Linked DNA regions of Oryzias latipes. The protein of the gene in region 1 interacts with the protein of each later gene in a pairwise test. Links are inferred from orthologs where the notes say so. Each region holds a gene or a part of one and is shown in the gene's direction. Other genes may lie near its edges.

What was found.
Region 2: the proteins of dazap2 (region 1) and sqstm1 interact in binary tests that used the Homo sapiens proteins (3 or more experiments, as listed by UniProt). The link is inferred for Oryzias latipes from reciprocal best matches to the Homo sapiens genes DAZAP2 and SQSTM1.
Region 3: the proteins of dazap2 (region 1) and plekhb2 interact in binary tests that used the Homo sapiens proteins (3 or more experiments, as listed by UniProt). The two-hybrid records come from large-scale screens. The link is inferred for Oryzias latipes from reciprocal best matches to the Homo sapiens genes DAZAP2 and PLEKHB2.
Region 4: the proteins of dazap2 (region 1) and poli interact in binary tests that used the Homo sapiens proteins (3 or more experiments, as listed by UniProt). The two-hybrid records come from large-scale screens. The link is inferred for Oryzias latipes from reciprocal best matches to the Homo sapiens genes DAZAP2 and POLI.
Region 5: the proteins of dazap2 (region 1) and rnf208 interact in binary tests that used the Homo sapiens proteins (3 or more experiments, as listed by UniProt). The two-hybrid records come from large-scale screens. The link is inferred for Oryzias latipes from reciprocal best matches to the Homo sapiens genes DAZAP2 and RNF208.
Region 6: the proteins of dazap2 (region 1) and exd3 interact in binary tests that used the Homo sapiens proteins (3 or more experiments, as listed by UniProt). The two-hybrid records come from large-scale screens. The link is inferred for Oryzias latipes from reciprocal best matches to the Homo sapiens genes DAZAP2 and EXD3.
Region 7: the proteins of dazap2 (region 1) and ubash3b interact in binary tests that used the Homo sapiens proteins (3 or more experiments, as listed by UniProt). The two-hybrid records come from large-scale screens. The link is inferred for Oryzias latipes from reciprocal best matches to the Homo sapiens genes DAZAP2 and UBASH3B.

What each region holds. Positions count from the first base shown.
Region 1 is NC_019865.2:22,359,146-22,361,401, reverse strand, and holds part of dazap2 (DAZ-associated protein 2), read left to right. Parts: intron 1-924; coding exon 925-1,043; intron 1,044-1,131; coding exon 1,132-1,380; intron 1,381-1,476; coding exon 1,477-1,605; 3' UTR 1,606-2,256. UniProt on the Homo sapiens protein: In unstressed cells, promotes SIAH1-mediated polyubiquitination and degradation of the serine/threonine-protein kinase HIPK2, probably by acting as a loading factor that potentiates complex formation between HIPK2 and ubiquitin ligase SIAH1.
Region 2 is NC_019868.2:3,816,862-3,820,905, reverse strand, and holds sqstm1 (sequestosome-1), read left to right. Parts: upstream 1-1,244; coding exon 1,245-1,413; intron 1,414-1,850; coding exon 1,851-1,946; intron 1,947-2,039; coding exon 2,040-2,308; intron 2,309-2,434; coding exon 2,435-2,579; intron 2,580-2,651; coding exon 2,652-2,720; intron 2,721-2,789; coding exon 2,790-2,926; intron 2,927-3,000; coding exon 3,001-3,265; intron 3,266-3,340; coding exon 3,341-3,501; 3' UTR 3,502-3,615; downstream 3,616-4,044. Other genes in the region: mrnip (MRN complex-interacting protein), read right to left, coding at 3,785-3,994. UniProt on the Homo sapiens protein: Molecular adapter required for selective macroautophagy (aggrephagy) by acting as a bridge between polyubiquitinated proteins and autophagosomes.
Region 3 is NC_019862.2:3,235,668-3,239,612, reverse strand, and holds the start of plekhb2 (pleckstrin homology domain-containing family B member 2), read left to right. Parts: upstream 1-1,145; 5' UTR 1,146-1,334; intron 1,335-1,394; exon of another isoform or gene 1,395-1,405; 5' UTR 1,406-1,475; coding exon of another isoform or gene 1,476-1,512; exon of another isoform or gene 1,513-1,840; intron 1,841-1,864; exon of another isoform or gene 1,865-2,043; intron 2,044-2,296; coding exon 2,297-2,333; intron 2,334-2,741; coding exon 2,742-2,894; intron 2,895-2,989; coding exon 2,990-3,092; intron 3,093-3,191; coding exon 3,192-3,231; intron 3,232-3,437; coding exon 3,438-3,521; intron 3,522-3,945. Other genes in the region: ing5 (inhibitor of growth protein 5), read right to left, coding at 1,476-1,512. UniProt on the Homo sapiens protein: Involved in retrograde transport of recycling endosomes.
Region 4 is NC_019867.2:1,943,930-1,947,969, reverse strand, and holds the start of poli (DNA polymerase iota), read left to right. Parts: upstream 1-1,240; 5' UTR 1,241-1,368; coding exon 1,369-1,453; intron 1,454-1,530; coding exon 1,531-1,650; intron 1,651-2,292; exon of another isoform or gene 2,293-2,338; coding exon 2,339-2,503; intron 2,504-2,618; coding exon 2,619-2,765; intron 2,766-2,907; coding exon 2,908-3,144; intron 3,145-3,220; coding exon 3,221-3,399; intron 3,400-4,040. UniProt on the Homo sapiens protein: Error-prone DNA polymerase specifically involved in DNA repair. Plays an important role in translesion synthesis, where the normal high-fidelity DNA polymerases cannot proceed and DNA synthesis stalls. Favors Hoogsteen base-pairing in the active site.
Region 5 is NC_019870.2:14,790,701-14,794,635, forward strand, and holds the start of rnf208 (RING finger protein 208), read left to right. Parts: upstream 1-1,135; 5' UTR 1,136-1,803; intron 1,804-3,935.
Region 6 is NC_019870.2:15,860,838-15,864,337, reverse strand, and holds part of exd3 (exonuclease mut-7 homolog), read left to right. Parts: intron 1-1,259; coding exon 1,260-1,421; intron 1,422-1,602; coding exon 1,603-1,788; intron 1,789-1,876; coding exon 1,877-1,930; intron 1,931-2,039; coding exon 2,040-2,179; intron 2,180-2,290; coding exon 2,291-2,397; intron 2,398-2,475; coding exon 2,476-2,549; intron 2,550-2,699; coding exon 2,700-2,738; intron 2,739-2,828; coding exon 2,829-2,995; intron 2,996-3,500. UniProt on the Homo sapiens protein: Possesses 3'-5' exoribonuclease activity. Required for 3'-end trimming of AGO1-bound miRNAs.
Region 7 is NC_019872.2:15,465,856-15,469,355, reverse strand, and holds part of ubash3b (ubiquitin-associated and SH3 domain-containing protein B), read left to right. Parts: intron 1-124; coding exon 125-311; intron 312-1,061; coding exon 1,062-1,260; intron 1,261-2,831; coding exon 2,832-3,001; intron 3,002-3,101; coding exon 3,102-3,310; intron 3,311-3,406; coding exon 3,407-3,500. UniProt on the Homo sapiens protein: Interferes with CBL-mediated down-regulation and degradation of receptor-type tyrosine kinases. Promotes accumulation of activated target receptors, such as T-cell receptors and EGFR, on the cell surface.

The sequences.
Region 1 (2,256 bases):
TCAGATAAAAAATATTTATAAAAATAATGATTTCTACATTAAAAAAAAGATAATTTATGAGGATTTTCTGTTAAAATCATATTAACAATCAAGGATGCAGAGATATACATTACGATTCGATCCAAACCTTTATTTTTGAGCCATGGTTTTGATTTGGTTTGATATTTAGATTTTGTATTACAAAGCAAGCAAAAACTACAAATGAAAAAAAAAAAAGATTTTTAATTTGCTAATAAGCCAGTAACAATGAAAGAAAACCCCTTTAGTTGGCTCATACTAAGACTGGTGCAATGTAATAAAACAAGAAATTATAGATCCTTCTTAAATTTAGCACAACACGTGTCTGACACACTGGTATGCAGGTGGGACGCACCGGTTTGATTCCCCACTACTCTGGCCAGGGGTCTATCATAAGGTTTGGTTTCAGTTCAAAACTGTGACATCTCTATCAAATATGCATTTTGATATTAAATAGTAGTATATAGTGATCAAAGGGGTACAAATAAATAGTAAACATATTCTTTAAGATCATTAAACTTTTATAACAAGGAAAAATGTTTATTTTTAATATCTTAATATCTTAATGCACCAGATAGAGGTTTTTATAATATAAAGTAAAATGTTTGGGGTTTGTAGGTTTTCTTTAGGTGAATCCACTGATTGTATGTGAGTATAGGACTGACTCCTCTCCTTGCGTTCCAAACAGGAACTACCCGCTGGCTTCAATAACCCCCCCCCCCAAAAAAAGAAATAATAATAATAATATTACGCCCACATCCCATAGACTTCTAGTGACAAATAAACAGCTCAGTCATTCTTTTTGCCAGAATAATCACTCTTGCTCTGATACTTTGTTTTGGACATGTTTTTGTTGGTAAAAATACATCTTTTGGTACTGTAATTTGTTGAAATGCTGTTTTGCAGGTTCATATCCACAGCAGGCTGTGTATCCTCAGCAGAGCACTGCACCTGTGTACCCTCCTGCTATGCAAATGTCTCCTCAGGCACCCCCCTACACGGATACACCACCTGCGTATTCTGAGGTAGCCCTCCTCTTGATAACCTAAACTATTAACAGACGAAAACCTGTTGTTGCTTTTTTTTTAAAACACCTGTTTTCCTTCTTTGCAGATATACCAGCCCAGGTATGTGCTTCCACCTCAGATGACTGGCCAGGTGCCGCAGATGTCTTCTCCTTATCCTGGCGCCCAGGTGTACATGCCCATGCAGCCACACATGCAGGTTGGACCGGTGGGCCAGAATGTCCCCATGGCTTACTATCCCATGGGAACAATGTACTCCCCTGGATCAACAGTAATGGTTGAAGGTGGCTTTGATGCTGGTGCTCGCTTCTCAGCTGGCAGTAGCGTTTCCATCCCAGTGAGTACCCAGCATTGCAGAAAAAGCCACATCCACTGCAAAAGTTTTTAAGCTGTCCCTAACAACTCTTCTTTTTTGTTTTTCAACCCTCATCAGCCACCACCTCCAGGACACCCCCCCAACGCAGCTCAGCTGGCCGCCATGCAAGGCGCCAACGTTGTCATGACGCAGCGTAAGAACAACTTCTTCATGGGCGGATCCAATGGAGGGTATACCATCTGGTAACAGCAAGTCCCTCATTGTTTATGCCTATACCATACCCGCCCCCCTCCACCCCGATGATACCCCTGTTACTCCCCCATCCCATACGCCTCCTTCTTTAGGCTGCTTGGCCATGCCACAATACTGATATCACCTAACGGAATGTAATATTTTAGAGCCCTTGTAAAAGGTACAGTACTCCACTTCTGACTTGGAAATGAAACGATAAAAACGACACCACCTGGAGAAAACCCATCCCATAATCCTCCATTGAATCGAACCTCCATATTGGAACTCTACCAGGCGTCCGTATCTGCTCAAGTGACCCGCTTTTTTCTTATGATCCAATGTTACAAATTAAATGGAGACGTCCTTGTAATCCTGTGAAAGTAAATAGTTGAAATGTCGAAATATCATACTGCATTACTATAGTTTAGCTGCTTTATGGTGACAGTGAAATGCAAAGTTGCAGTTAGTTAAAAAGAAACCTTGTCTTTTTTGAAAAATCCTTAAACGTGTAGTTAGATGTGTAATACTTCCTTGTAAATATTCTTCTGATGATCAAGAGATGAAACATCTCAACTGTTAAGATGGGGAAGACAACAACATCAACAAAGCATCCTGGATGCTTTTAGCTAGCATCGCATTGTCTTTTGCACAAAAATACCCAAATCA
Region 2 (4,044 bases), on another chromosome or scaffold:
GATTTGAAGAGAAGACCTAAAGGTGGACAGAATATCAGGAGATTTCCTCATAAACATTGACTATGAATTTATCATTACTGGTAGTTTACAGATGTAATCCATTTACTACACTTCTGAAAATTGTTTTTCTTTTTTTCCCTCTGAATAGGAAAAATAACTGAAGAATTTTAGACATCAACTCCCTCTCAGTGATCCAGGACAAATAATGGTAGACATGAAAAATGCTTACAGTTAACTAATCATGAGTATTTACTAGAATACAATATATTAGTCTTCATGCAGCTATTTTAACCTTCCATTAGGTCTCTTTGGCTTTAAACAAAAAACCCTGATGATTTCAATAAACAATGGCGTTGTAGTTTTGGTTTATTTATTTAAGTAAAGTTGTATCTTAGGTTTAGATTGTTCACTTGTCTTCGATGTTATAAGGCCTGATTATTTATTATTATTTTCTTGTGACAAACTTTTTTCCTTTTGACTTGGAAGTAATCTCTAAAACAATAATAATTTTAAAGAATAAATATTACATTATAACATTAACAAGAATAACATAAAAATGTAGGCTCCTCCTTGAACAGCTGAGAAAAAATGAATTACAAATTTCAAAAACATATAACGTTTTTTTTCTCCAAAAGAAAAAATCTAATGAAGTTTAACTGTTTTAAGGAAAAAAATTCCAATGTTAAATGAATTATTTATTTAAAATAACTGACATTTTATGGTTAGTTACTAATTTCTCTTTAATGAACTTCCATAGTTTTAAATTGAAAAGATTAAATTTTTTCCCTTGTTTAGTCTGAAACACTAAAAGTACTGAAGCAGTCTAGAACTTTCCTACTAATTCTAGAAGGATCCATTCCGATGGGCCACAGGTTTGATAAACACAGGAGGACGTCTCTAGGCGATTCATCGTTTCCGTGTTTTCATGGCCGCAGTCTGCCTTCTCACGGTGACTCCGCGATGTGTGTGAACTGTCTGCTGGGATCCTGATCACGTGACACACAAGACGGCCTCTGATTGGACCTCTGGAACCGGCGTTCCTTTTACACGGACCAATCCGCGGCTGCGCAACTGTTAACAGAATCACGTCACCTGCGGAAGTAAACATAAAAGAGGCTGAAATTTATCGCTGCGTCACAAACTGGGATTTTTCTTGGACTGTTCAAGTGACGGTTTTGCGTCTGTGTCTCGGTCCTGCTCCCGGTGTCAGAACTTTGTGGTTCGGAGTCCACAGCAGCAGCAGCATGTCTGTGACGGTGAAGGCTTACCTTCTGGGGAAGGACGAGCATGTGAAGGAGATCCGCCGCTTCGCGGTGGACCAGGACGTGTCCTGCAACTTCGAATATCTCAGCAAGAAAACCGCGGCGGTCTTCTCCAACCTGATGAACTCCTCCTTCAACCTCTTCTACAAAGGTGAGCCGCATGGGCCGGGTCAGACAGAGCCGGGATCCGCTGGGTCTGATCGGAACCGTCATACTCACTAACCTGGAACCGAACTTTTTGTCAATACTTTATTAAACAGCCGCAGTAACGCGGAAGACCAACTTAGAGAAACATTCGAGTATATAGAAGGACTGTAGACATTTGAATCTGTACAAACATAATCCGCCCACTGACTTATTTAAGAAACAGCTAATTTAAAGGGATTGCTGTCACGTGACGCATGTAGCCACGCCCACAAATTTCTGTCCTTTGATTTGTGCGCAATTGAAAATATTCAGTTGATCAGGAGGCCCGAAGTTTAGACCCCCCCCCCCCCCCCACACCCACACACAAACACAGGCGGAGTAGGTGGGACCTTATGACGTAGAGGGGAGGAGCTTCAGGTGTGATTCCGGTTTATATTTCAGATGAGGATGGAGATTTGGTGGCCTTTTCTTCTGATGATGAGCTGATGATGGGCCTGGGCTGCGTGAAGGACTCCACCTTCCGCCTCTACATCAAAGGTAAATGCACGGCCTCCTGTGTGAGATCAGAGTGACCTCCCAGCAGTCCTCCCTCACGGTTTTTTTTTTTTTTTTCTTCCTGAACTCTGACAGAGAAGAAGGAGCACCGCCGTGATTTCCCACTGCATGCCCTACCCCCTTTCATGTTTGGACACCCACCACCCCATGGCCCCCCTCATGCTCCACATCACGGCCCTCCCCCCGCCCTGCACCCTAACGTCACCTGTGACGGCTGTGAAGGGCCGGTTGTGGGAATGCGGTTCAAGTGCTCCGTTTGTCCCGACTACGACCTTTGCTCCACCTGCCAGGCTCAAGGGAAGCACACTGAGCACGCTTTGCTGCCCATCTGGCACCCCCTGCAGGTGAGTTACTCCATCTAACCATCTAATCGTCTTTCCACTTCTGTCTGGACATCGTGCTGATTTAAAAGAAAGGACTTTTTGGTCAAAGCCAAAATGCACTGACTGAACCAGAAACTGTGTCTGCAGTGGTTTCCCCGTGGAAAGTGGATGAAGAGAATGAGACACTGCATGTGGAACCAGAACCAGAATCAAAACCAAAACCCAGAGCAGCAGGAACAGCAGGACCAGCCAAGGCCATCAGCATCTTCGGGTGACGGTGGAGAACCATCAGGTGAGAGAAACTCAAAAAACGTTTGAGCCTAGGGCATTAACATGCTCCCACCTTAACCTCTGACCTCTGCAGCTTCCCAGGCTAGTGTGGACTTCCTGAAGAACATTGGGGAGGGGGTTGCCGCCATGTTGAGCCCCCTGGGTGAGTGTACATAGTGGAGTTGCTGTTTTTGGGGGACAGGCAGGAAGTGATGTCATGATTTCCATGCAGGAATCGACGTGGACATTGATGTTGAGCATGACGGGCAGAGGTCGAAGGTGAATCCACCCACTCAGGCTGGAGGGGGGGATGACAATGTGGCAATGGATGTAAACGAAGGGGAGTCTGCAACTGCTGAGAGGTCAAAGGTCAGTCTGTGTTCACTGATCAATGACTGAAATGAACGTGTCAACAACTGACCCTCGTCCCCACGTACACGCAGGCAAGCCGGGACTCTGACGAGGAGTGGACTCACCTGAGCTCCAAAGAGGTGGACCCGTCCACGGGGGAGCTGCAATCCTTAGACCCCAAGAACCACGAGTGCGAGCTGCCGTCGGGAGGGCAGCAGGGGCCCCCGTCGGGAGGGCAGCAGCCGTCGGTAGGGCAGCAGGGGCCCCCGTCGGGAGGGAAGCAGGGGCCCCCGTCGGGAGGGCAGCAGGGGCCAACAGGTCTGCGGGAGGCTGCGCTGTACCCCCACCTGCCTCAAGGTGAGTCTAGTTCTCACAAGTATCATTTGCTATGACTGTTGCCCTCTTGTAAGCTCCTCCCTCTGCCCCCCACAGAGGCGGACCCCCACTTGGTGGAGTCTCTGGCTCAGATGCTGTCGATGGGCTTCACTGATGAGGGGGGCTGGCTCACCAGACTCCTCCAGGCCAAAAACTTTGACATTGGAGCGGCTCTGGACGCCATCCAGTACGCCAAGCAGCCCCGCCCACCACAGTGACCGCACCAGCTGCTTTATTTAACCTGAGTTTCTATCTGTTCAACTGTTAATCAACTCCTTAACCTGTTTCTGTCTTTTATTAATCTGTTTCTGAACAATAAAAACATGAAGGAATCCGAGTGGGTGGAGTCTTGATACACACCTGTACTGCCAAGTGCACAGCAGGCTGCTTTTGAGAACCAAAACAGTCCAAATGAAACACTAAATGTAATTTTATATCACCTGTTTCCACGGCAACACCTCCACCAGCAGCACACTTGAACCAGACTACACATAGGAGCTGCTAGAAGTCAATACTGAAGTCTTCCTCAGTTTCGAACAGGGAGGAAACACTGAGTCCTGGGTGGGGCATGTTGGGGGCTTGACTCCGCCCACAAGCTGGAGGCTCCTCCTCTTGGATTTCGGAATCAGATTTGAGAGAGCAGGCTGAGCTAAAGGCGCGGGGATGGAAGTGAGCTTCATCAGCAGAACGTCTCATTGCTGGACCAATCAGCTGCAGATAAAGAACACAGTAGTGAAAGTTGGATGACAGAAACACCAGAA
Region 3 (3,945 bases), on another chromosome or scaffold:
TTATCATAGTATCTTCTGACATTTTTGGCCGCTTATCTCCTTCTACAATTTTTCAGCTATTTTAACTATTCAGCTCTTTCAGCTTTTTCCAGTTATGACTTTTGGTCCTTCAAATCCTTGAACTTTTCCAGATATTCCATGATTTTTGCCTCCATTGAAATACATGGGGAATCCTGGGTGCAGAAACTTGTCTGGCATTTTTCACAAAAATATCTTTATTATTTTGCCGTTTTTACTTTACTTATGGTCAACTTTGAACATTTCTTTATTTAATTTTTTATTTTGTGCCCATTCTTACCCTTTTAGTTTCATTTTCATTAAGCAATATACGTTAAAACCTTGCATTTTCTTCTGGAAATGCAGCTCCTTCTGGCTTTCTCTAGTCTTGCTCTCTAGATCAGTGTTTTTCAACTTTTTTTGAGCCACGGGACACTTAAACCTTGACAAAAATCCCGCGGCACACCAGCATCCAAAAATAAAGAAAAGGGAGAAACTCTTAGTCTGTATTGATGTACAGTCCCTCCACAATCTCACATGCATTTCTGTGATAATTGTGGCAGAAAAAGCTGGAAGCTGCAGCTGTTTCTTCTAAAAGATGTAATAAAAGTTAAGTTAAAATATTTAAAAACTGTTTGATGCGTGTTCGTTGTGGTTTCAAGACGTCAAAGGCTACGTTCACACCACAGACTGAAACGACCCAATTCCGATTTTTTTGCCCCCCTGTGACCTGTATCTGATCTTTTCATGACAGTCTGGACGACGCAGATCCCATCTTTTCAAATGTGACCCAGGCCCCTTGGGTATGTGGTCCTGAATCTGAGACGTATCCGATCTTTTGAGCTGAAATCCTGGAGATGGTAAATGTTTTTAGATCAGTGAATGAGGGCAATTTCCCACGGCACACATGACCATCTCCCACGGCACACTGGTTAAAAAACGCTGCTCTAAGGATGTAGGTGGCCCCTGTTCCACATCATGGTCGTGCTCAGCATGGTGGGGCTGACAGGATGCACAGCGCTCTAGCGCCACCCAGCGTCAGCTGGAAGGGCTCGTCTGCAGGGCGTGGAGTCAGGGGGGCACCGGGCCTGCGCAGTAACCAAAAAGGCGGTTTGCACAGGCTGCACATCATGAAGTCCCGGCAGCAAACGGAAGCGCCTTCACGCGGGGTTGAAAAACAGTTCTTGAGTTAAAAATCCCTCAATAATAAAAATAGATAAATAAAAACGTGACTCCAATGGAAATACTAAACTAAAAGGGTTTCGTCTCAGTATATTTCTGCTCCGGCGTGAATCTGTGAAGCCATCACAAGTCAACCCAAGTGACGTCACAAACATGTACGTATAATCAGTTTAGGTGTGCTACTACCACACACTTTAGTCTTTACCGTCTGCTAAACTACCCGCAGCCACACGGCGACGAAAAAGACCGAAGAAGCCCGAACCAAAACTCCTCCAGGACCTTCTACGGATACTCACTGTCAAGGTAGTGCTCCAGGTATATAGCAGTAGCCATTGTTGACGGAGAGTTCGGCTCCCGCGCGCTCTTTAGCTTCCAAACTACTAGCCAAACCAAGCTACGCTAAGTTTGTTTTGTAACTCCGGGTCGCCCGTCGGTCCCTGTCGTTGTAGGACTTCCGCTCCGCCGCCGCTCAAACTTTTCTCTTCCCGTCTCGTCTCCAGAGCATTCGACTGATTGTAGTTAGACGGTATTTCCGCAGACAGTCGACCTGCGCTCCGCTCCAAACACCGGGAAACCGACCGAAGATCTGGCAGCTCCACCACCCCGCAGACCAAGCGAGACCTTCACATGCGCGTTCCCGCTCAGATTACCAGCACTTTCCAGCTCGGTCAGCTGGTGCGTTGCGTCATTCAAAACAAACGTCTCGGTGGGCGGGGCTCCTGCAGCCTCTCTGTCCGTCCGTCCGGTCCGGCTAACGGAACAGGCAGGTCCCTCCGTCCGCTCCAGAAGCTTCTCATCTCGTGCTGGTTGCAAATTATTTTTTGCCTTTTGACGAATTGTCGAGTCACACGCGCGGTTACGTACGTACGTCAACCATATAGCATCTATGACTGCTTGAGCCTCCAAACTGTTTTGTTGGTATTAAATTTACGCTGCGGCTAAAATGCGGCTTTGGGGAAATTTTTCTGCATCTAGTAGAATGTATGTAACATGTCAAAGCGGAAGTTGTAGCTACTGCTAACATATTTCAGGTCACATCGAGCCTTGTTGTCGATTTAGTCCGTTTTTGGGGTTCTGCTGAGTTTCACTTCCAGCATGTTTGGTTGTGTCTTCTCAGATGGCTGTGGTGAAGAGCGGTTGGCTTCACAGACAGAGTGAGTCACGCGCATGCGCGGCCTATGCAGGTCATCCCAAAGAGCAGCTAGACACATTGAGTCACCTATTTTGGAACTGAAATATTACAAAAAATGTTTTATACATTTCAACGTTGTTTTCAAATTTCAGATGAAAATTAATTTATTATATTTGGTAAGTTTGATATTCACAAATCTAAAGTTTCTAAAAATAATCCCTGTAACAACAAAAGAATTAGAATCTTATTAGAACAAAACAGTAATAATTAAATATTGCCCTGGAACATTTTTAATTTTTTGTGATGTATGTTTTGTAATGCATGTGCATCCTCATTGTTATTGTTCTGTATGTTTTGGACAATTAGTTATATTTAATTGTAATAAAAAAGAGGTTCAGATGCTGATGGAAGCTGCTTCTTTTCATCGCAGGTACTATCCTGCGCCGCTGGAAGAGAAACTGGTTTGACCTATGGGCTGACGGACGCCTGGTGTTCTACAATGATCAGCAGAGGCGGGACATGGAGGATGACATCCACATGAGAGTCAGCTGCATCAACATCCGCAACTCTGCTGCATGCCAGGGTGAATTTCAGCATCCGCGATACTGTGACAGTTGCTGACCCTTAAAGTTAAACGTTGAGTTTTTTTATTGTGGGCCTTCCTGCATTTCCTGTCAGATCTGACCCCCCCGGAGGGGAAGTCCCGTGATGCCTTGCTGCAGATAGTGTGCAGGGACGGGCGTGTCATCAGCCTGTGTGCTGACAGTGCAGATGATGCTCTGTAAGACTCTTTAGGTGTCACCTTTGATCAAATGTAGTTCTTGGGTTCTGTGGAGAAGCTTTTAGTGAGACTGACGTCTTTTCCTGCTTCTTAACACAGAGCATGGACCATGGCGCTTCAAGATGCCAGGATTAACATGGTAAGATTTTTCATCGTCTGATACGTTTAGACTCAAACTAAGCTTGATTTTTTTTTTTTTTTTTTATTTGATCTAAAAATGAACACGAAATCAGATGGGATCAAGTGGAACAGAAGCTTGTAGTTTAGACCTGTGAGCGTTTTCTGTCTGGCGTTTCTGACAGAGTTACGGTTTAAGGGAAACCTTTGTTGCTCTGACGTGTGTAGGTGGTTGCAGCCCCGCAGGTCGGCTTCACACAGGAAGTCATGGAATCGGCTCCTCCCCCCTACTCGGAATACGCCCATCCACAGGTAAAAGGAGGAAACCACATACATTTTTGTTTTAAATCTTTATTTATTGAAGAGACTAACTTGAGGTTTACAGTCTCACAGCCAAAATTACAATTAGAACGGGCACAGAAAAAGGTAAACAACAATCACAAAATAATAACAAAAAATACAAACCTAAAAGAAGGGGGATACATGGGCATTATAATGATCAATAACTTATCAAAAAGCTGTAAATTACATGTGATACTTTAGAGTTTCATAGCAAACCTTATTTTCCATGAAGTTTACAGATGAAAAATAAAAGCAAAGTTCTTTATGAAATGTGAAAAAATATAGTTTGATTTATAAGGAATTGACATTTGTGTACGGTAAACAGAATTTATCCAGGATAATGACAACATTTAAAATAATTTCTGTGGTTTTGTTTTCTAAAATAAACCCAAAA
Region 4 (4,040 bases), on another chromosome or scaffold:
GAGAATCTGAGGTTTTTCGGGATACTTTTGTTTGCGTTTTTTTTCCCCAGTGGATCGTAAGATAATTTTTTTTTTTAAAGTGTATTGCATTCAATTGTAAATGAAAAAAGATCATTCAAATCTTTTCCACATTTTCATTCGAACATGTTTAAGAACTACAAACAGGCTGGGCTCTAACCTCATCTGCTCATGGAAATTATAAGATGAGCAGAAAATGTGTTCTTCTTTTCTTTTATAATATGTTTTAGATTTTTTTTTAATACATGAAACGTTTTTTGTGTTTGTTTGCTTGTTTTAATTAAATGCAAAATGTTTCCATACTTTCATACTATGGAAGCACTTGTGTCTCATAATTAAAAATGAAAGTCAGTACCAGAAATGCCTTTTCATTTTCACAACAAAGCTGCGTTTGTTGACTTTGTTTGACAATTCAAGAAGAAAAAGAAAAAGCAGTTTGGCAGATTGATTTTTCATTTTATTTTTGAGTTGACAAACGCAGCTTCATTGTGAAAAGGAAAAACTGTTAATCTGTTAATCCATTTTAATTGTCAAATTAGATATTTCTAGTTGAATGTTGATACACATTTACTAGAGAACTTTTTGAAAATGAAATGTCAAACACCATTCTCTTTATCCTTTTATTAAAGGTGACAGATTAAACTTTGTTGAAGAAACGAAAATGCCGTTTGGCAGATTGATTTTTCATTTTCTTTTAAATAGATAGATATAGATAGATAGATAGATAGATAGATAGATAGATAGATAGATAGATAGATAGATAGATAGATAGATAGATAGATAGATAGATAGATAGATAGATAGATAGATAGATAGATAGATAGATAGATAGATAGATAGATAGATAGATAGATAGATAGATAGATAGACAACTTTATTTATCAATGGGGGAGGTTCCCGCATGGAAATTGACATCTCCATCGCATACAGCACTGGTTGACATACGTATATGAAAGAGCAGTACAGTATCCAGAAAAATTAGAACAGTAAAAACAGTAACAGTTTAAATATCTGCAGAACAGCATATACAAAAAAAAGTCATTCAGGCCCTTTCCCTTTCCTTTTCTGTCCCCCTCCCCCTTTAAGTCAACAAATGCAGCTTTATTGTGAAAATGAAAAAGCATTTCTAGTACCGACTTTTATTTTTTAATTATGCTACACAAACGCTTCCATACATGGCTTTCTTAAGGAGGGGGGAAATAGGAAATCCAGGTTCGTCTTCCACACCAGTTGGTGGCGGTAATGAGCTTCTTAGCTGTTTTGGCGCCGCTATTTCAACCACAGAAGAAGAACCCTGGCTGAATCTTTTACACTTCAGATGTTTTTACAAACTTTAGACTCATAAATAAAATGGACAGCAGCGATGAAGAGATGGACGGAGACGATGGCCAGTGGAGGAGCCAGTTCACGGGTCCAGAAGAACCCGCCACTTCCGGTAAACTCTGAAGCTTTAAGCTAGCCCGTGTCGGAGCTCGCGGCTGTCATGAACTTCAGTTGTGTCTCCGTTTTCAGGATGGAGCGTAAATAATCCTCCAGGAGCTCCTCACAGAGTAATTCTCCACTTTGACCTGGACTGTTTCTACGCTCAGGTGGAGATGATCAGAGATCCTTCTCTGAGGGAGGTTCCTTTAGGTAAATTCTCTGTTTTAGGCAATTTTCCACCGTTTTCTTGTTTCTGCTGCAGTTTTCTTTTTTGATTTCAGATTCCCGCCTTTCATGGAGTTTTTTTCTTCTTCATTTTATTCCATTTAGATGACATTTTACCGTTATGACCATTTATGGACATTATATAATTGCACTTCCCCACTAAATAATAAATTTATTTCCATTTGACATTTAATATTTAATGGATTAAGTGTAGTTTTTAATATTTCTGTGTATAATTAAAGGTAATTATAATGACCTCATTAACATGTGGATATATTTATATGGAGATTAATGTAGGCTACATGTGTGTCTATAAATATATTTGTGTATATTTCTATACCATCTTTTTCTTTAAAGGTTTTTTCCAGTTGTTTCATAGCAAATAACCCTAAGTTCTAATGTATTTATGTACAGATAAGTATTTATTTAGTTTACTTTTTTCTGTTTTAAATTCCAGATTAACCGCACTAGAGCAATCTGGAATAAACTGGATTAAAGCAAAAACACAGGAACAAAACTTTGTTAAACATAAATGTATAAACTTAATTTAAAGGACGAACAATACATTGTAACAGATAGGAAATCTCAGAGCAAAACTCAGTATCCAGGTGTGACTTAGTTATATACCTCTTAGAATTTAAAGTTGCTCAAACGATGACGTCTGTGTCCTCAGGCATCCAGCAGAAGTACATCATCGTCACCTGTAATTACGTGGCGAGGGAGCGCGGCGTCACCAAGCTGATGTCTGTAACCGATGCCAAAGAAAAATGTCCAGAGCTGGTTCTGGTCCGAGGAGAAGACCTGACGCTCTACAGAGAGGCTTCCCATCAAGTGACAGGCAGGAATCTGGAGCCGTTCTTAGGCTAATTAAAAACAGATCTACAGGATCAGATTGTGGAGAAGAGCGATCCTGAGACTCTGATTGACTTTACCTGCCGTTTTCCTCCTCTCAGAGCTGCTGTCGTCTTTCTGTCCTTTGGTGGAGAGACTTGGCTTTGACGAAAACTTCATGGACGTCACAGAGATGGTGGAAAGGCGGATGAAGGAGACGCCGCCGCCTGAAGGATATTCGTTTTCTGGACACGTCTACAACCCTTCCAGTGAGTTGGACTCGCATCGCTGCTGCAAACCGTCGCTGTCAGGAAACTGAGAGGAACTTGCAAATCAGGATATTTGCATGAGAATCTCGGTTTCTTTCCTGCAAGCGGTCCGTTTTTTGCAGAACGCCATGCCTCTGTGCAGACGCAGAGATCAGCGGCAGCGACCACCCGCGGCTGGCTTTGGGCTCCTACATCGCGGCCGAGCTGAGGGACGCGGTCCACAGCAGACTGGGCCTGACGGGCTGCGCCGGCGTCGCCACCAACAAGCTGCTGGCCAAGCTGGTTTCAGGCACCTTCAAGCCCAACCAGCAGACGGTCCTGCTGCCGGAGGACGTCGGCCACATCATGGAGTCACTGGGCGGAGTTCGGAAAGTTCCAGGTACGGAAAGATGGCCTCCTAAAAAGCAAACCTGTGGCGTGTTTGAGAAACTGTTCAACCTGGACGCTGCCCTCAGGTGTGGGGCATCAAACGGCTAAAAAACTCCACCAGCTGGGCGTGGTTAGCGTGAAGGACCTGCAGCTCCTCCCACTGCCTGACTTGGTGAAGGAGTTCGGAGGCGCTGTTGCTCGGCGCCTGAGGAATCTCTCCCTGGGTGTTGATGACTCACCTGTCACCCCCAGCGGGGCTCCCCAGGTGAGTCGGGACATTCGCTGAGCTTCTGACAAAAATACAGACTTTGATTAGATCAAAAAAGTAAAATATATACCACACAGTTTTTTTTCTTTTTTAAATGACTTTAATATGATAAAACGAATGATATCTGATTGAACACAGACAAAGGAAATGTGTCAGTTCTGGTTGTTTTTGATCTCAGTGCGGCATTTGTCCATTGGTAATTTCACATCTGAGCTAGCAGAAATTATATGTGGAGTTCCCCAAGGCTCCATCCTGGGGCCACTTTTTCTATTTAGCATTAACATCAGGGCTAATATATATATGTACATATAGTTTATATTTATACTTTTTCTAAAGTTTTTATTTGAATAATCACCCCTTTAATATTCTTGTTAAATATTTCTTTAAATTTTTTTGCCTGGAATTATTTTTGATCCCAAAATCACCCGAGTTAACGACATCATTTTTACTTTTCTTACAAAATAAAAGTCTTGTTTCTGTGATTCTGATACTTAAAGAGTTTCATTGTTGATTGAGGAGCAAACAAATAGATTTATTGACACTGTTTTCTATTACATTATTTTCTATATGATTTTATTTTATTGAGGTTCAAAGGAGTGAATGAAGAACTGAAGCTTCATCTAAAAACTCCTGTCGTG
Region 5 (3,935 bases), on another chromosome or scaffold:
GTGAATTATAGGTGACACCGAACAAAACATGCAAGGTATTTATTCTCTTATCCTGCCTTCTTTTACTGGACCTTCTACCTAATCCTGTCATTTTAATACAGGGTGATGTTTGTAAAGAAAGTTTAGCCTAAAACGGTTAAGCATATTAAATCAATATGTTCAGAATTGTTAGGAATCAAGTTAGCTTAATGGTCATTTTATTTCACCTCATACAGCACATTAAAAATAATTTGTAAGACAGCAAATATTAAATTAATTATGAAACCCAAATCATGATAATGCAGCTTTGTATATTTGCATTCTAAAAAAGAGAAAATTAAAAAAAGTTGTACTAGTTCTTATTTCATTTTTGTTTAAATATAAAATTACAAGAATTACTTCAATTTCTTGGGCCTCCACTTTTCCTCTAATGTTGATTTCTATATTCTGCATTTGATCTGACGTTATGTAAGCATTCGCCTTAAGCTCAGAACTCACATCATGCACAACCTTTTTTTCCCAGCTTTGATCTGGGGATTATTTATTTGTTTCATGAAAGCTTTAGTAGACATCAAACTTAGAAATCCTGATTATGCAACATCACAGCTCCTCTGGATCTGAGTCAGGTGTCCAGAATGCAGTTTTACAGCGTCTGTGTGGTTTCTAAAGAAACTCATGTTCCTTGTTTATGTCTTAAGATTGTGAAGATGAATTTAAGCAGATGTCTTCTCTTTGCTGCAGTGGTCACGAGTAACTTTTAACGCCTTGCAGAAAATAACAACATGAATGTTGTTCTTTTGGTGTGCATTTTGCATGATCCAGGCTGGAGAACTGTTAAGAACACATACGTCTTTCTTGCAAATGCTCAATGATCTATAGCTGTCTTTTCTCCATCGGCTCCTCGTGTTTCCTGTGTGGCTGACTGGTGAGATTGACCACATGTGCTCACACAGAGCATGATTCACAGCTCTTTTTTTTTCCGGGGGGGGGGGGGGGGGGGGGGGGGCTTTCATATCTACTGTGCATATTTGCTTGTTTGGATGGGGGTGGGGAGTCTGGTCCTGATTGGCTAAAAAATTTTCTCAGTTGACGAGGGAACGTGATCCCGCCTGCAGAGGCACTGCAGTGTGTGCTGCAGCGATGGTTCAAGAGGAAGGAGAGGTGGTGGGAGAGTGTGTGAGAGACGGAGAGGAGGGGCGGGGAAGCAAAAAGAGCTGCACGCATGAGGGGAGTGAGCCAGGAGCCCAGCAGAGACAGGGTTGTGTGGATGTATGTGTGAAGGCACTGCGCATGTGTGACTGTGAGGTGCACTGACTGAAGCAGACAGCGGAGGAAAAAAGAGCAGTAATGAACGGCTGCTGAGCGATAACAGCAGAGGAGAGGGGAAGAGGCTTACCTGAAGACCACAAGGCAGGACGGTGGACAGGAGGGAAGGGAACGGATGAGAGATCAGAGGCGCAGCACAGAAAAAGCTGAATAATTTGGGAGAAGGGCAAAAAATAAGGAGATGGAAAGGAAGATGGGAGAAATCAAGAACTCGAAAGAACAGAAACAAGGTTAAGGGTGTGAAAAACAAGGATAACAGAGAGGAGAGAGGAAGAGGAACCGAGGATGATGAAAGCCGCAAAATGAGTCCACCTTGTGAATGCTTCCTCCATCTTACATCTCCTCCATGTTGTTGATGGTCCTAGAATGAAAAGGACAGAAGAGAGCATCCTTCCCCTGATGAGACATTTCCCGCACAAAGAGCCAAACGGTGTATCATCACTGGAAAGCTTTGCCTGCAAGAACAGAAGCAAGAAAAAATCAGGAACAAGTGCACAGGTAATGACAAGGGCTTTGTAGGATTTTCTTTTGTGTGATGACCATTATCTGTGTGTGCGCATGCTTCTTGCTGTGACACATCGCCTTGTTTTTCACCCAAATGTTTCTTTTTTTTCTTTGTGTGGGCAGGACAAAGGCAAAGGTTTTGCTTTGTTGCATTGCATTGTTGTTGCATCATGGTGATTCATGTGACAGCTGGTCATACACGCGCTGATGTGTGAATGGAGACCAATGCATGCCCACCGATACACTCCCACCTCGCACAGATCAAAAACGGCGGTCGGAAATTGGTCTGTGGACACTGATCTCGGGTGTTTAGTCGCAGATGGAGCCTTGAGGGTTTCCTGTTTCCATGACATTTGACAGACCTCTGCACAGACAGAAACAGAGAGGGCACAGGTGGAGGGCTGGAGGGTAGGGGGGGGGGCACAGGTAAAGGGCAAGAACGGCCTGTTCTGTCGTTGTCAGCAACACTGAGACGTATCCATATTGGCCGTGCACTGGTGCTGCAGTGAGAGCACTCGGCACACCATGCTGCGATTGCATAACTGCTGCTTCCAAGTGCACCCCTCCCACTTTGTGCAAATCAATGCACCGAAGCCTCTTCTTTGCACAGGGTCCAAATATCTCAGCTACCTCACTTCTGTCCCATCTTTCGGAGCTCGCCGCCTCAAAAATACACCTTAAATCTCTGCAGAGATAGTTGCAGTAATCAATCCTGGCCCCCGCACTTACTGAAGAGCTGAGCGCCTGCTGTGCATTTCCTGTCATCAATCTTCCATGAGGTCTGTGTTTATGAAGACAGATGCTAATTATTATTGCTGTCATTTTTTTTCCTCCTTCCAATGTGCATCTCTGCCATGTTGCTGTGAGAGCAGAGAGGAACAAAGAGCATTTGGCTGTAATGAATTGCGAAGCAAAATGGCCGATGTCTGCCACAAATGACTGAATGAATTATTTAAATCAACACCTCAGCAAGCCCTCCCAAAGCTCTCTATTCATCAGAAAGACTTAAACATCCAACTGATGGGGATCTAAATCCTAAGAAAAGATAAATCTTTGTGTTTGTTTTGAAAGCTGTATTTGAAATAGCAGTATTGGAAAGTATAATCTGAGCATTTGTTTGGCTAAAATGTGTAATAGACATTGATGACCAATGGCTTGTGTGCTTTTGAGAGAGAAAGCTCTGGAGTCTCATTTAAAGTTGCAAAATATGCCAGCGTTTGCATAATTGTATTGAATCACTGCAAACGAGATTATTTTAGGAGAAAATCTGCAGCTAACGGGACTACAGTAAATCTGGGGATTTGTCCTTAGTACATGCTATAAGGTCGTGACACGTTACGCAATCAAAACACAGCAGAGTATTCCGCTCGGATCTGAAGGGAGACATTTGGACATGCCCACCTCGAAATGGGTGAGAACTAAAATCTCCACATAGCTGGAATACCTGACGTGCGGCTGGCATGTGGTATGAGGAGCACGGTGACTGTGAGCATGTGAGTGATGGTGGTGGACGGTGAGGCGAACACATCTTCTGTGATAAGAAAAGGGACGGGCCCATGCCCGCTGTGTCCATGACTCATTCATTCAGAACGGGGCGCTCTTCTCCTACACAGGTGGACTTCATCCGGTGCAATCATGCTGACCCGGTGAGACCTACGTGTGTGTTTGAATGTGCTGATGTGTGCGTCAAACACACAAAGGAAAGCGGTGGGAGTGTTTTTACAGGAATGTTCTGGAGCGACATGAGGCCTTTCCATTACTTTTTAGAAATCTTTCCAATTAGTTTTTTGGTTTTATTTCATGCCAGCTGGTTATCAGTTTGTGTCCGCAGGAATGTAAAGGGTGGTGCCCTGATGGGGCAAGAATGTTCTAGGATGCATGTGTCTAAAGTGCACAAAATGCAGCTCTGTGTGCGTTTAATGGTTTAAGGAATTTGCTGCTGAGGCAGACTACACTGGCATTTCTGTGGTCAGCTTTCCCTCCTCTTTGCTTATGGATGAGGTCAAATGCCTGCCCTGATTTCATTAGCGTTTTAATTCCTCTGATGGAAGATGATGGAGATCCACATCAACACAGTGCCAACTGGGGGCGGAGAGCACCACCAGTTTACACTGTCTCAATGTGGT
Region 6 (3,500 bases), on another chromosome or scaffold:
CTCTCTCAGATGAACACAAATGCCAATTTTTGTTGCATCTATTTCCTTTAAGTTAGGAATTTGTCAAAAATGTCTGGACTCATAAAGTCCCTTTTATAGCTTTGGTAAGCTCATGATGAAGTGAAGCTTATTCATAAACACAAACTGGACCAATTCATACTTGAGATGCCCACTAAAAGTGAAAAATGTGACACGCTAACGTTAAATGATTTTGAAATAAATTAGAAAATCAGTTGTTTAAAAACCCATTTTGGTGAAAATTGTGTTTTTAACATGTTCTTGTGGCATTTTTCTCATGATGGAAGAGAATTATGAAAAACATTAAGCTCAGAATTGTACTTCTTTCCGCAAATTGTTGTGAATCAGGAACAGAAATGACCGTAAGCTCTCCTCTTCGCTCCGTTCTGATGGATCTAGGGTCCTGCCCACAACTTAATGGTGAATCTCTATCAAACGCCTAGAAAAAGGAATTTTTTGTGATTCTGGCTAAAATTGACATAATCACAATTAAAAGACCGCAGGGGATGCTTTCTAAAATTGATCAAAAGATGATCGGATGGGACTTTATTTGAAGTTTTGGCAGTTTTTGCATGTCCTCTAGTATTTGAAGGTTGTTCTTAATGCTAAAATTGAACAGTACTGACTTTCTCTTGCAGATTGGTCTTTAATTTATGATTCAAGTTGGTCTTTTTTGTCATTTTTTTCACGTCTTTCCTCAGCAGAATTCCCCTCATTTGTTGTCAAGCTCCCATTTTCTGGCTGCACCCCCCCTATTTACTGAACAGTTGATTTGCACACTCCTGATGTTCCCCTCTGGGAATTTCTTTTGTTTTTGAAGATTAAGGACGGCCTCTTTCACTTGCTTTGACAACTTCTTCGACCACATGTGGTGGATGTTAAGCCGTGGCTGCCAAATGAGCATACCACACTTAGAATGAACTCTGAACGCCAGACGCTTCATCAAAATCAATGTTTAATAACTAGTGAGATGAGCCAAAACAACTAAACTGCTTATGCGTCAACTCTCCAGCAACGTTGAATCCATCAAACAGCTTGATTTCTTGCACATTTACTTTCATTTGAGCACGGCTTTAAGCAGAGCTACCCTTTAATTCCATTAGAAACAAATTACTTTAACTTTGAAATCTTTTGGCTTTTATCTAAAAAAAAAAAACTGCACCTCAGAGATTCAGTTTAAATCGAAGTCTACCAGCTAACTTTTCAACATTACATGTGGTCCTCTCTGTTTTTGTCCATAGCTGCGTTCAGCAACCCAGCAGGGGTTTTCCAAACTGTCTGAGCCTCTCGAGGCCTTACTAACAATCCTGGAGCGTTGTCCGGGCAAACAGAAAGGTCGGAGCCACACTCTGGGTTATCATATCCTCATGGATTTTCAGGCATGGATGAAGGACCACCCTCAGGTAGATGATCAAGATGTTCCAGATTTTGGTCTTTTAGAATGGTGTCAAACTTTAAGTTAAGTCAGCCTCATAAATATCTAGGATAACTTGAATGAACAAATTCCCTTTTAAAAAACGGTTTAAAATTAAACTAATTTCAATTTACGGTTTCTTTTTAAAACTTGTCATTTGTGTTATTCAGGTGAACTTGAGCTCAGTCCCTGAACAAAAAGCTCTTGCACTCCAGCATCGAGCCCTCGACTTACTAACAGACACACAGCCCGCCTTCGTAGATGCTCTCATCAGCATCTACCAGCTCAAGTCCTTAGACCCATCGATTCTACGACTCCATATTATGAATTTGCAGGACGTCAAGAATTACAAAGAAGTGAGTTTCCGAACACAAAAACAAACATTTGAAAGTCCTATAACAAGTGCAATGATAGTAAATCATTGGTTTTCTTTTTTTCTGGTAGGCTGCAATCCTCAGCATGAAGCTGGAAGTACAGGAAGAACTAAATATGGAAAAGGTGGGGTGAACATTAAGTGGCTTTATGGACTATGTTTACTTTAAGATCATAAATTAGATAATAACATTCCTAAATGGTATTTCTATTTTTCTAATCTTTTCATCCACAGATGTGTGTGCCTCTCATTGTGCTGGATAAGCTGTCGTTGGCAGAGGCGTTCGTCAGCGGCCGCAGACAGCTTGAACAACAACTTGTCTCACTGCTTGACTCTTGGTGTCACCCCAACTTCAGTGCTGAGAGGATTAACAAGTATGATATGCCACGTGAATGAGTAAAAACCAGCTTTGGAACGGAGCTGGGGTTGACATCAGTGTTGTAGTAGGCTATGAAATCCAACAATGTGCATGTGTGCCTCTGCAGGCTGTTTCCAGGCCTGACTCGGTCCAAACAGAACCTAGCACAAATCCATCCAAAGATCCTTACCAAGCATGTCTTAAGACTCATGGAGAAATTCAAAGTGGATCCAGGTGGGTTCCCGGCACATATGGGCTTATCAATAAACATTTTTTGGTGTGTTACTAATATTATGCTTTTTCTTAACGCAGCACTGTGTCCAAATGCGTTGCACAAGAGGAGATTAGACACTCTGCGTTACCTAATGTATAAAACCTTTGTGGAGGTGAGCAAAAGTCTAGACTTCCCAGCTGTTTTGTAATCATTGTTTGGCAACAGTTTGGAAGAAAAATGCATTCTGCTGTCCCCTCAGTTTATCCTGTTTCACTGCAGGGTTAGAAAAATGAATAGCAATGTTCTTTCTTTATTCTTACAGCAAGGTATGACTGAAGAAAGCTGGGCTGACCATGTGCAGGTAAGCTTTATTTAAAAAAAACAAAGACGTATACATTATGGAAACATCAGTGGGTTTTGCTTCATTTTTAGTTTTATGTCATGTCTGCAGAATGTGGTGGCAGATGATGCAGAGCTGCACATCCATTTGGTAGAGTTGTTGGCAAAGTACTGTGGTCTTCAGAAAGCCTCCCAATGGTCCCTGAGATACAACATACCAAGGAATCGACTTCCCTTTGGGGTGTGGGAAACCCAGAGAAGTCTGCCACCTGATCTGCAGTGAGTAGGAAATGATCAAAAAAAGCCACAAGCTCATAGGATGCGTAGGAAAAGTTGGAACCTTGAGTTTTGTTGCATGTTCACATCATTTTGAATTAACTATAAATCTCATTTTTTTTATCAATCTCCACATTCGGGAAAGGGGGAGGGCAAAGGGGTGGGTTAGTTTTACTACCGGTAATTTATTTTTTGCTAGTAATTTTTGTGCTTTTGTATTTTTTTTTAATTGTAAAGTGCTTTGAGCTGTGTCAAGCATGAAAAGGAGTTTTTTCTTTTTTCTTTTCTTTTTGAGTTTTATTAGAAATATAGGGTTATCTCATCGGTGTTGTTTAAAACGACAGTTTTTTAAACTTAAATATATTCAGTTTTAGTATTTTATAAATGACAAAATCATTTAATGGTAGCAGATCAGAACTTTAGCTGTTGGGGAGATTTCATTTAGTTTTAGCCCTTGACCCAAAATTCAGTCTTTGTATGTTAACATTAAACAATTTATTAAAATATC
Region 7 (3,500 bases), on another chromosome or scaffold:
AAAGATAAACTGACCTTGTTTTAGGTTATTTTATGTCACTGCGTTTGTAGCATCTGTGCCCTCTGCTGGACAGTAGCGGTAATGACTCTGTTTTTGTTGGTCACCTCTCCTTTGACTCCTTCAGGCTCTTCTCACACTTGGACGACCCTTTCCTGGATGACACTCTGCCAAGAGAGTATGTGCTCTACTTGCGACCCAGTGGGCCGCTGCTCCAGCAGCTCAATAGCTTCTGGAAGCAATCTCGCCTTTCCTGTGGCAAGAACAAGGCTCACAACATCTTTCCTCACATCACCCTCTGTCAGTTTTTCATGGTTAGTTGTGTATTTCTTTAAAGTGTTATTACTCATCCACTCCGGGCCTCGTGTCCCTCATGTTGCAACATTCTCAGTGAAGCACTTTTGCTGTAGTGAAAAAGTAGAGGGTTGACAAGTTTTCCTTTCAAAAATAGAAGTGGCCAAGTTTTTAGTGCTCTTTGGTTAAAAGTGTTGTTGTTTTTTCCACTTCTTGGTTTTAAAGAGCCACTCTGAAAGTGGTGTTTTTACATGTTCTTGTGGCCTTTTTCTCATGATGGAAGACATATGAGGAAGATTAGGCTTAAAACTGCTTCTGTATGTCACTAGTGGGGAAAGTATAAACAGATTGTTGACGGGAAGTGAGGGCTTACTCCGCACCAGCAGTCCCGCCCACAACGCAATGGCGAGTTTCTAACGAACTCCTGCTGCTCTGCAGAAACCATGTCAACAACACAGGTTTCTTTTTTAAATTTAAGCTAAAAACAAAATAATCATTGTTAAAAGCCCACTTGGAAGGCTTTGAAAATAAATCAAAAGATGGTTAGAGTGGGTCTTAAAGCTGTGACCCAAGTTCACCTTTGTGCCACAGTTTTTCCATGTCACAAAAATGATGTTGCATCTTTGAACTGATTCAGTCTCACTGTTGGACATTTTTAAAGCAGACATCCACGAAATGTATAGCTTATGGAGCCATATTGTCCGATTTTAACAGACTCAGTTTCAGTACTGAAGCTGATCTTCCTGTTTTGTCATCTCTGCCGTTCTCAGTGTGCTGATGAAAAAGTGGAAGCTCTGTCAGACGCCCTCCAGAACACTGTGGCCAAGTGGAAAGGTCGCATAGGCATGCCCCTCCCCCTGGAGCTCTACACCTCCTCCACCTTCATCGGCCTGTTTGTGGACGAGCAGATAGCTGAGATGCTGAAGACTTTTGCTTCTGATTTTTCTACTGAAGCAGCTTCCAAAGCAGGTTAGACTTTCAGACACGTTAATACTGTTAGCTTTTTCCTGACCTTCAGGAAGGAATTTCTGCTAAATGTTTTCTATATTTTTTTCAGTTCGACAGTAGGATAGAAGGTTATACAGTTAGGGAATTCAGCCAATGGAATGCCCCCCAAAAATCAGATAACAAAGCCGTACAAGCAGCTCAGATGAGGAAAATGAAGACATACATGGACCGAGAAAGAAGAAAGCAAATACTTGAATACTTGTTTGGGTAGTGTGCTCCTCATAAAATCCAGATGTTCACCTTTGAATCCATCATTTTTTTTATTATCTGATTTCTGATTAGCTCAGTTGGCTGCGTGTAGGACTGGCGCATGGGAAACCAATGTTCGTTTCCCAGAGGGCGCGATGACCTTCGTCATGTTGGTCCTTGGGCAAGAAGAATGTAGCCACAAGGGGCCCCAGTTTGGGTTTCCCTGTGCCGGTCCCCAGCCCAGATAAAATACAGGTTTGTGTCAGGAAGGGCAGTGTAAAAAATCTACCAAACCACCTGTGAGAATGGCTGAAAGCTGATTTGCTGTGGCAACCCCTGAAGGGATATGTGGAAAGTTGATCAACAACATTTCATTTCTTTTTTCTGTTTACATGATATTAGGTGAGAAGAAGAGTCATGATTGTTTGTCATGCAGTTTGGTATTCCATTCAGCCTCTGGTTAAATTGTAACCAACTCTAGACATTGAATCCAGAGGCAACAAAATGCCGTCCAGTTGTGGAGCTGTTTCCCTCATCACAGCGAGGCTGAGTACAGATGCCTCCGAAGCAGAGCCAAGAGGCGGTGTGAAAGCAGCTAATGGTTCCCAAGAAGGCTTGTGGGCAAAAATGCTCCAGTGATTGGAAAGATCTCAGCAGTTGGACAAAGAGACATCCTAAACTAATCTCCAAGGCACACAACACCATAGAGACAAATAAAGAGCCTAGTTTGCTCCAGTAAACTCAAAGCCATACAAATGGTCCACTAGAGTTTTTTTCTTGTGGAACTATGAAATAAAACTGGGATTTTTCAGACCTCTGGATCAGCGATGTGTCTGGAAAAGGAAGACTGAAGATTATGCTGAGACGAACATCCTGCTGCTTTGCTTCCTTTGGCACAAGAAACCAGCAGTGTGAGGAGGGAGATGGAGTCAGTCAAGTGTGAGGAAAGCCAAGAGGAAAATACCATGCCATCTGTGAGGGAACTCAAACTTGGACATGACTGGACCTTCAGCAGGAGAACGACACAAAAAATATCTCTAAGAATATTAGCAAGAATTCATTTCAGAAAATAAAATTCAAAATTATAGTCATATTAAAGTCAGTTAGGTGAAGACTGTCTAGTAGAAACTAAAGATGAATAAACTTAGGTTGCAGCTGGATTGGATCGTAGCAGGGTGAAACAGCTGAATAAGACATAATATTTTTGACAAAATCTATGTTTTTGGTTGTCATTAATTGAAAGTCTGCAATTGTTGGGATTTAGAAAACAGACACATTTGAAGGAGGTATTTCATTCTCCCCATTAAGTCAGCTGTAAATGTTTGATCTCCAACCTGATCCAGATGTCCATGTGGAGCCCCATAAGAAGCAACTTCACGTCACTTTGGCGTACCACTTTCAAGCCAGTCATCTTCCGGCTTTGGAGAAGTTGGCCAAAAATGTGGATGCGTCTTCAGGCTGTGACTGGCTGGCTGTGCTCCTATCCCGGGACATCCGCTTTGCCAATCATGAGGTAAACTTTACCTGTTTAAGTTATTTCTCTCTACAATCTGTTTTCATTTTTTTGTTGTTAAATCCTCTTTTAATGTCTGTTTTCCATTTGCTCTCTCTAGACCCTGCAAGTCATGTACCCATATGTGCCTCAGAACGATGACGAGTTGGAGCTGTTGCCGGGAGACTTCATCTTTATGTCTCCGGTGGAGCAGACTACTGCCAGTGAGGGCTGGGTGTATGGCACTTCGCTAGGCACAGGGCTGTCCGGTCTTCTTCCCGAGAACTACGTTAGTCGTGTCGATGAGTCCGACACGTGGGTTGTCCATGGGTAAGAAAAAGAATAGCAGCACTCAGAGCAAGTACAGGCCATCGCTGAGTCACACTTAAGCCGTATGTTATGAATAAAACTTAATTTGATTGACAGGTCTCACTCCTTTCTCAACTGTGCCTCTCCATCTACCTCTGGTACCACTGTGAGTGGGCTGTTATTCGATGGACACCTAAATGACAGTCTGCTC